Linked DNA regions of Saccharomyces cerevisiae S288C. Changing the gene in region 2 together with the main gene of any one other region gives a genetic interaction. Each region holds a gene or a part of one and is shown on either strand. Other genes may lie near its edges.

What was found. A genetic interaction does not mean that the proteins touch.
Region 1: mutations in FAR3 (region 2) and NUC1 together harm fitness more than expected from each alone (negative genetic interaction), as found in Saccharomyces cerevisiae (2 studies listed by BioGRID).
Region 3: mutations in FAR3 (region 2) and SPE2 together harm fitness more than expected from each alone (negative genetic interaction), as found in Saccharomyces cerevisiae (2 studies listed by BioGRID).

Annotation. Positions count from the first base shown.
Region 1 is NC_001142.9:39,618-42,908, reverse strand, and holds NUC1 (ribonuclease), read left to right. Parts: upstream 1-1,725; coding exon 1,726-2,715; downstream 2,716-3,291. Other genes in the region: AP-1 complex accessory protein LAA1, read left to right, coding at 1-1,520; CBP1 (Cbp1p), read right to left, coding at 2,940-3,291. UniProt on the Saccharomyces cerevisiae protein: This enzyme has both RNase and DNase activity.
Region 2 is NC_001145.3:377,799-380,766, forward strand, and holds FAR3 (Far3p), read left to right. Parts: upstream 1-1,787; coding exon 1,788-2,402; downstream 2,403-2,968. Other genes in the region: YMR051C (gag protein), read right to left, coding at 1-527; STB2 (Stb2p), read right to left, coding at 2,548-2,968. UniProt on the Saccharomyces cerevisiae protein: Participates in the control of the reentry into the cell cycle following pheromone treatment.
Region 3 is NC_001147.6:231,870-235,366, reverse strand, and holds SPE2 (adenosylmethionine decarboxylase SPE2), read left to right. Parts: upstream 1-1,730; coding exon 1,731-2,921; downstream 2,922-3,497. Other genes in the region: GAL11 (Gal11p), read right to left, coding at 1-427.

The DNA.
Region 1 (3,291 bases), on a different chromosome or scaffold from region 2:
TTTTCTCTTTTACCAGGAAATATTGGAGCATTTTAGTCCCATTATGGATCATTTCTTTACGTGAATACATGATGATAAAGTATAACGATAATGATTCTACTGTGCAAGTAAAGAATGACTCGAAAGAAAATAGTCTCATTGAACCAAGAAGTACGAAAATTGAGTTATATGAACCGGTCTGGTTAAATTTCGTAGAGGCCCTTGGGTGCACTCTGGATTCAGACGTTCAAGTCATTTTGGCATCTCTTAACGATGAGGAATTAGAGTATTTTCTTTTTATTTTATTTAGCCAATGTTTGGAGGCTATCGTCAAAAATATTGATGATCATTCAGTCAAGATGCAAGTTTTACCGGCTTTACACAATGTTTTGAAGAGCAATCTGTGCATAAAAAGTATATTTGAGGATGATATTATTACTGAAGTTGTTGAGATTATGGACAGACTGATTTCTACAGGCGACAGTAAAGAAGAATTTTTGCTTGTTGATATCATCAGTGACTTGATCATTGGGTATTCGAAGTGTAATGCTACTCCTGAAACATTTCTACAAGATATTGACAAACTATATGAGCTACTGCGACTACTGATGACAATTATTTCTGAGAGGTTGCCATTTATTAAGTATAACGTGCTTACCAGCGAAGAAGATGATAATGAAATAAAAATCTCTCCCACAGATATTAGTCTGTTGAAAAAAACATTTATTGCGTTCGAATCAAATATCAGTAACTTCGACAATATGTTCAAAGTAGATCTTTATTCATGTCTTTTATTCATCATAGGGAAAATTTATGAATGTAGTCATCGTGAAGTAATAATTCCAATCATACTCCCACTTTTCAAGGCACTAGTAAAAGCGCTTACGGAATCTGAGGACGAAAAAAATATTGTGTTACTAGAAATATTCTACGGGTCAATAAAAGATGTTATTTATCATAAGCTGGATTCAAAGAATAAAGTTGCAACCATTTTGATCTTGCTGTCTAATGGATACTCTAAGCTAAGTTTTCAGGAACTGAATCAGTGCGCAAATATTCTCTCGGAGGCATTGAATAATCCTGCTACGCAGCCAATTGCTCTACAAGGCTTCAAGAGAATAATATCTAATATTTTCAAATACCCGTTGTTGCAGTATTTTATGAAGTTGGTTATAAAAAGATTCTTTCAAGATATTCAAACAAACGATTCCTTATCGCAGGCAAGCATTAAAACTAAGTTGATAATTCAGTTTTCCGAGGAAGTAATCAAACAAGATCACCAAAAGGCATCATTGTCAATTGCTTTATGTCTTTCTTTCTTTGCCGCATATCATAGCGCATATACAGAGAAAATAGACAACGAAGTAGCAAGTGGCATAGTTGCTTTGGCTAAATTGGACAAAAATTCATTTAAAGAAGCCATTTCTAGCACTATAAGTCCTCAACAAAAAGCAATTATAGGTTCCGTGATGGAGGCATACGTTAAATCGCAGTCTTTGGGCTCTGTCGAAGAGGCCTTTCAACTGAAATCTTTCGACTAATTGCAAGTCGGATGCATATGCACGGAAATAAAACTCATCGCGAAAAAAGAAAAAAAAAATAAAATCTGTGAAAAAATATCAATGGTGCAATTGGTTATTGGTCACTCATCAAGTAATTTGTTAGTTTTTATAGAGTTACAATTGTATAAAGATAAGAACATTTAGTTAAGTTCCCCACTTATTAGATCCCAAAGTTAAAGTTATCATGTGCAGTAGGATACTCTTGTCCGGTTTAGTCGGACTGGGTGCTGGTACTGGCTTAACCTATCTTCTTTTGAACAAACATTCTCCAACGCAAATCATTGAGACACCTTATCCACCTACCCAGAAACCTAATAGTAATATTCAATCTCACTCTTTCAACGTCGATCCTTCCGGGTTCTTCAAGTATGGTTTTCCTGGTCCGATTCATGATCTGCAGAACCGCGAAGAGTTTATCTCATGTTACAACAGACAAACTCAAAATCCTTATTGGGTCCTCGAACATATAACGCCAGAATCATTGGCTGCAAGGAATGCTGACAGAAAAAATTCCTTTTTCAAGGAAGATGAAGTAATTCCAGAAAAGTTTAGAGGTAAACTAAGAGACTATTTTAGGTCGGGCTATGATCGAGGCCATCAAGCCCCAGCTGCAGACGCAAAATTTTCTCAACAGGCCATGGATGATACATTCTACTTATCCAATATGTGTCCTCAAGTAGGAGAAGGTTTTAATAGAGACTATTGGGCGCATTTGGAGTACTTTTGTAGGGGATTGACTAAGAAATATAAGAGTGTAAGAATCGTGACTGGTCCATTGTATCTACCCAAAAAGGATCCCATAGATAATAAATTTAGGGTTAATTATGAAGTTATTGGCAATCCACCCAGTATTGCTGTTCCAACGCACTTTTTTAAATTGATTGTTGCAGAAGCACCAACAGCCAATCCTGCTAGAGAGGATATTGCTGTCGCGGCATTTGTATTGCCAAACGAACCGATATCAAATGAGACGAAATTGACTGACTTTGAAGTTCCTATAGATGCTTTAGAGAGAAGTACTGGGCTAGAACTTCTGCAAAAAGTACCACCTTCAAAGAAGAAGGCATTATGCAAAGAGGTAAATTGTCAAATTGTAGTGAGAGATTTCTCTAACGCGGCGATCAAACAATCGAAAGATGTGAAATTGTTACCTCCTCCAAAAAAAAGGAATTGAATGTACTGAAAAACTGTAAATATAAATTAATTCATAACACAACGATAGAATAGCATGAAAGAATATAACAAGTCTAACGCATATAACATAAAATAATACATTTATTTGATGATCAAAAAAAGAAAAGAATTAGGATGCAATGCTTGGATTTAGTATATATTTACAGAAATTTGTTTTGTTATTATTTGCTTTGTTATTTATATCGTAAATGTGCGTTTGGCCGTTCATCTTAAGTAACGTTTGACAGCCGACACACCATGCTTTTTAATATCTTGTATGATCTCCTTGTTTGTTTTGAACTCTGAATTTCTAATTTGATGTTTTAAGATGAAATTCCAGTCTAACTTCAATTCCTCAATCGTCATACCGTTCTGGTATAGTTCTGCGCACGCCCAAAGAAAAATGTCTGTTCTTCCTATCTGCAGTGCGCTTAATGCAATATTCCTTAAAATAGTAAACCTGTTTTGATTATTCACTTTTAATTTGACATCACATGGGGAGGATGCAATGAATGGGTTACAGTTCGATTTTGTCCAGTATGTTTTACTTCTCTTTGCAGCATTTATATAAAGTAGT
Region 2 (2,968 bases):
GTTAACATTGGTGGTGGTCTGACATATTTTTTAGTGGATGTCATATCAGAGTCCGCTGAGGATGAATCAGTAAATGTATTACCTGACTCAGGTGATGGAGTGCTCAGAGGCGTTCCAACTGATGATGGATACTGCGGAAACTGTGATTGTGGCCCAGGTGGAAAGTACATAGGCGACATTTGATAAGGTGTATACGGAATCATAGATGGGTGTCCGTAAAATGACCAACCAGATGGATTGGCTTGGTTTTGGGTCATCATGCACTGCTGTGGGTACGGCCCATTCTGTGGAGGTGGTACTGAAGCAGGTTGAGGAGAGGCATGATGGGGGTTCTCTGGAACAGCTGATGAAGCAGGTGTTGTTGTCTGTTGAGAGTTAGCCTTAGTGGAAGCCTTATCATATTCTTGAATTTTGGAAGCTGAAACGTCTAACGGATCTTGATTTGTGTGGACTTCCTTAGAAGTAACCGAAGCACAGGCGCTACCATGAGATATATGTGGGTAATTAGATAATTGTTGGGATTCCATTGTTGATAAAGGCTATAATATTAGGTATACAGAATATACTAGAAGTTCTCCTCGAGGATATAGGAATCCTCAAAATGGAATCTATATTTCTACATACTAATATTACGATTATTCCTCATTCCGTTTTATATGTTTATATTCATTGATCCTATTACATTATCAATCCTTGCGTTTCAGCTTCCTCTAACATCGATGACAGCTTCTCATAACTTATGTCATCATCTTAACACCGTATATGATAATATATTGATAATATAACTATTAGTTGATAGACGATAGTGGATTTTTATTCCAACAGAAGGTGATCTAAAGATTGAGAAACAGTCACCAGATTTAGGGGAAGCTGAAATGCAATGATTGATAATGTAATAAGAAGCGAGAGGGAAAGTATAAAAAGGAAGTGATCAATTTGTGAATAATTTGATAACCGTTGGGATTCTATTGTTCGCAAGGGCTTTATTTTATTATGTGTACAGAATATAATAAAATTTCCCCTGAGAGATATACCAATCCTCAAATTGGAATCGATACTCCTATATAATACAATTACAATTATTTCTCCCTCCCTTTCGTATGTTTCATTATCCTAGTACATTATCAATCCTTATATTTCTGCTTCCATTAAATTTTACGACTGTTTCTCAATGTTTAGATCATCTTCTTACACTGTATATGATAATGTACGAGTGGCATGAATACTACTGAACAGATGATATTTTATAGCTTCATTCCAACAGAAAGAACATAAAGTAATATCGTTACGTAAAACTATCGATTCCCTTTTGACGATTCCTACATCCTCGAGAAGAAGTTCTAGTATATTCTGTGTACCTAATATTGTAGGCTCTAACAACAATGGAATCCCAACAATTAATCATCTTGATTATTTTATTCCCCGCGTTTTAGAGCATCAATCTTGCCAGCTTATAGCTGGTCATTGTCGACGATAATCTCAAGCACAGGGCTAAAAAATAAATTGAAACGGACAGGAATTGAACCTGCAACCCTTCGATTGCAATCTTATTCCGTGGAATTTCCAAGATTTAATTGGAGTCGAAAGCTCTACCATTGAGCCACCGCTTCAACTTTTATTGTTTATATTGACACCTGTATAACAATATAACCACAATAAAAGGTTCATTCAAAGCTCCGGCTAGCATTCGGCGATTAATGAAGAAAGTTAAACCGTGATTTATTACTTCTTGCTCGTTTTTTCCATCATAAGTTCGCACAGAGCAGTATATATAGTGATTTGCAAATATGAATAGCGGTGGTAGTGATAGTTTCGATTATCTTCTTCAATTAACAAAAGCTTTAAGTGCAGAGTGTCGGGCTAACAGACAAGAGACCGATCGAATAGAACTATTGTTAAAGCGCCTTGCCAAACAGTCAGGAATATCTTATGATAATTTGAGCAAAAACATAATTCCAGATTCATGGAAAGATAATGCATCTCAAAAAGCATCTCCCCCCACTGAGGCACAGAAGCTTATCAGCGAAAATTTTAAACTCATATACGAGATTGAAAAACAAGAGTACTTCAATACAAAGGCTGTTGCGCTAATTAACAACATAAATGAGCATTTCTCATATATTAAAAATTTTATCGACGAACAGAATGCAATAAGAGAACGAAATATTGCCACATTTTCATCAGAGAAGCTTGATGAAAGGAACAAAAGTCTTCAACAAAATTACGAGTCATTGAAGACAGAAAATGAAGAAACAAAAAAAAAATTGCATTCAATTATCAAACAGTTTGAAAAACTTTTGAAGGAAGTGGATTGGGATCGTATATCTAAAGATTCCAGAGATTACAGCCGCTTTAAAAAACAGTTGGAATACCTGCAAGACACGTACCAGGTACTGAAATAGCCTACGATGGATCGAACAAAAGTGTAAGCAGACGTGAAATAGCAAACCTTTGAATGCATTTATATATTTTAATATACTTATAACAACGGATAAATGTTTAGATCCCTTTTGAAAAAAAAAAAAAATTAGGATGAACCGAAAAAAATCATACTCGTATTCCTCTATCGTCTTCACTGGCATTATTGTGTAAAGAATTATTACCAAATAACCACCTGAACCACCCCACAGTATCATTCTTTAAATCTTTAAAATAACGGCGGCTCAGCATCTTTAAACAAAGAGCTTCATAGGTGGGGTTGTTAGTGGTCATCAAATCATTTACGCATCTATCATATTCGTCTTTATCACTCTTGGGATCTATTGCAGAGCATATTCCAGTTTTACCCTGTCCCTGAAGAGAGCTTTTCAACCCAATTAATTTGGAATCAAACTGAGCAACACTACTTTCAATATCTCGTACACGAACTTCCAATATCCTCATATCATATTTCAACCTAGATGATAAGGAATTTAACTCTTGCATCTCATGGAGAAGAAGTTGTTGCTTATTGTCAATGTCTTCAAAT
Region 3 (3,497 bases), on a different chromosome or scaffold from region 2:
GTTGCGCAACCTGTTGCCTTGCCTGAGCCTGCTGATTCAAGAACATCTGTGGGTTTAGATTCATATTGACATTCATATTATTGGCGCTGTTGCCAGAATTTTTCAAGTTGTTAATATGGTGCTGTTCCACGGGTTTAATGTTGTTATTAGCGGCAGCAGCAGTAACGGCGTTTTTCCTCGTATTGTACGTGTTGCGCATGACAGCAACTTTTTCGTTCATGCTGTCCATGTATTCTTTCTTTGAAGAGCTCTTTGCGAACAAAGCTGCCTCGAAGTTTTTGGCATGAATTCTTATCTTATCAGCAGTGTCGGAGCTCCCTCCGTTCAGAGTGTTAATGTCCATGAGCACCTGAAGCAACCCGTTGACGTTCTTCGCACGCTCGGCATTGGACAGAGTGTCTTTGTCTTGGACAGGAGCAGCAGACATAGCAGATTTAAAAGAAATAGCGTTTTAATCCTTGATCTTTGAGTACGGCACTATACGAAACGATACGCTTATAAAAATGGGGTTTAACTAACAAAGAAAAATATACCAGCACAAGTATATAGCAATGTCGTGGAAGTACTTCTTTGTGGAACCAGCTGTTTCCAGAGACAAATTCCTAGTCCTTGTGAATGGTTGACTATTAAAAGTTTGACTGTAAAGGTTAAGCACCTTCATCATCCTCATCCATAATATAATTTTCTGATCGACGCAACCGGGGCCGGGGTGGAAGGAAGGCCCGATTCGAAATAAAAAAGAGGCCGCCACAATGTAGGGTAATGCCTAATTATATTAACTAGAGACTGACTGAATCATATTACTTAGTTACTACTACTCTTATCATGCAAGAAGATGTGAAAAAGCGTCTTCCCCCAAATCATATAACTTCTGCACCATCCGTGGACTGTACAGGTTCAGCGGGGGAATATGTAATTGCTTGTTAGGATTGCTCTTGGGACCGTAGTATCGCGACAAGGAAGTCTGTGTAGTTCCACTTGATGTGGGCTGCCTCGCCGCTTCTTTTGCAGTCCCTAACCTTATATAGATGCGCACGCGCCAAAGCATGAGGGTACTCCATCATGTCTGTTGCACAAATATCGTAGGTTACTTGACGCTAACGTCATGTTTGATGCTCCGTTAACGAAGAGAATCGGAGCTCTTCATCTTAATCAGGCTCTTTTATAGCTCAATCATCAGTGGAAAAAATTCTTCGAACTAGAAAAAAATCAAGAAGTGAAAAAACTAAAACCGCCAACTGGCTACCCGGATAAGCCCCATAATGGCGTTCCTAGGGCTAGAAGAATTTCAAATCGATGACAGCTGATAGAAAGCGCCAGAGATATGTAGCCTTCCATCAGTAGTAATATCCAATAAATTGGGCACCATGGTTTGGCAATCAGGCTTTTTACCCTCGCCCTCTTTTCCTTCGCCTTTTACCTCTTCTGCATCCAATTTCAGCGTACGTACACAATGATTGACTTTGGAAATTTTCACTTTTTTCCACTCGAAGAAAAAAAATTCCAAACACGGTTCTCCGGTATTTAGGCATCGAATAAACTTTGCTAATCGACTAAAAGCATCTCTGCATATCTATACGTGTATATATTGTATTCGCTACAGCTCGCTCCTTGCATCAACTCTTTTTTTCTTTTTTTTCTTCCAGGTTAATCAATTACTGTACTGTAGCTTCTTTTTTATATTTTTTAGGTTTTCATATAGTGTCTTACGCAAATAGGCGGACCATAGAATGACTGTCACCATAAAAGAATTGACTAACCACAACTACATTGACCACGAACTATCAGCCACTTTAGACTCAACGGATGCGTTCGAGGGTCCCGAGAAGTTGCTGGAAATCTGGTTCTTCCCTCACAAGAAGTCCATCACGACCGAAAAGACATTAAGAAATATTGGCATGGATAGATGGATCGAGATTTTGAAATTAGTGAAATGCGAAGTTCTTTCCATGAAGAAGACTAAAGAACTGGATGCCTTTTTGTTGAGTGAGTCTTCCCTCTTCGTCTTCGATCACAAATTGACGATGAAGACGTGCGGTACTACAACCACATTGTTCTGTCTCGAAAAGCTTTTCCAGATCGTTGAGCAAGAGTTATCGTGGGCTTTCCGCACAACACAAGGGGGCAAGTACAAACCATTTAAAGTGTTTTATTCTAGACGATGTTTCCTTTTCCCCTGTAAGCAAGCCGCTATCCATCAAAACTGGGCTGACGAAGTCGACTATTTGAACAAATTTTTCGACAATGGTAAAAGTTATTCCGTGGGAAGAAATGACAAGAGCAACCACTGGAACCTGTACGTCACCGAGACGGACCGCTCCACACCTAAGGGAAAGGAGTACATCGAGGATGACGACGAAACTTTCGAAGTACTGATGACGGAGCTGGACCCAGAATGCGCTAGTAAGTTTGTTTGCGGGCCTGAGGCATCCACAACCGCTCTCGTGGAGCCAAACGAAGATAAGGGCCACAACCTCGGCTACCAAATGACTAAAAATACAAGGCTTGACGAAATATATGTCAACTCGGCCCAAGACTCCGATTTATCATTTCACCACGATGCATTTGCGTTCACGCCATGTGGATACTCATCCAATATGATTCTCGCTGAAAAATACTATTACACCCTGCACGTGACTCCGGAAAAGGGTTGGTCTTACGCCTCTTTCGAAAGTAACATACCCGTATTTGACATTTCCCAAGGGAAGCAAGACAACTTGGACGTTCTTCTACATATTCTGAACGTTTTTCAACCAAGAGAGTTCTCGATGACCTTTTTTACCAAAAATTATCAGAACCAATCCTTCCAAAAACTACTAAGCATCAACGAGTCACTGCCCGACTACATCAAGTTAGACAAAATTGTTTATGATCTGGACGACTACCACCTTTTCTATATGAAATTGCAGAAGAAAATATGAAAAGCCGCCATTTGTGTCTCCTCATACTTACATAGAATAGCCCTCTTCTATTATCCTTCGCTTGCTTTCTAGCACTCATAACTAATGTAGTTTAACCCGCTTGTATATCTTCTACATCATTACCCCGCATGCTTTTTTTTTTCCTCTAGAGAAAACCGGCACAGATTGGCCGGACCCGGAACAGGAAAAATGGCCACTGAAAATTCCTGGCCAGACCACCCCTGAGCTAAGGGAGTTTAGCCGCTCAAGCTTTTATTTCCTCTGATGTAATATATCACACACCCAGACACGGTTGCCAAGGCCTCGACGGAAGGCCGCTTCAAGGGACGGGGCAGTGGCTATCAGAAATACCTTAATATCATCAATATTTTTCATCAATCGCAAGGTGTCAAACATCAATAAAGGATGATGCTCAAAGGTTTATGCCCGATGTTCTTCTAATCCCCTTTCTCTCCTAAAATAATCCTTTTTTTACTCTTCTTCTTTTCCCCTGTTTCCATTTTTGTCTTTTCTCACCCCTTATGGGACATCAATAATGCAAGTATGTTTATACATTTTTATATAAATGTATATATA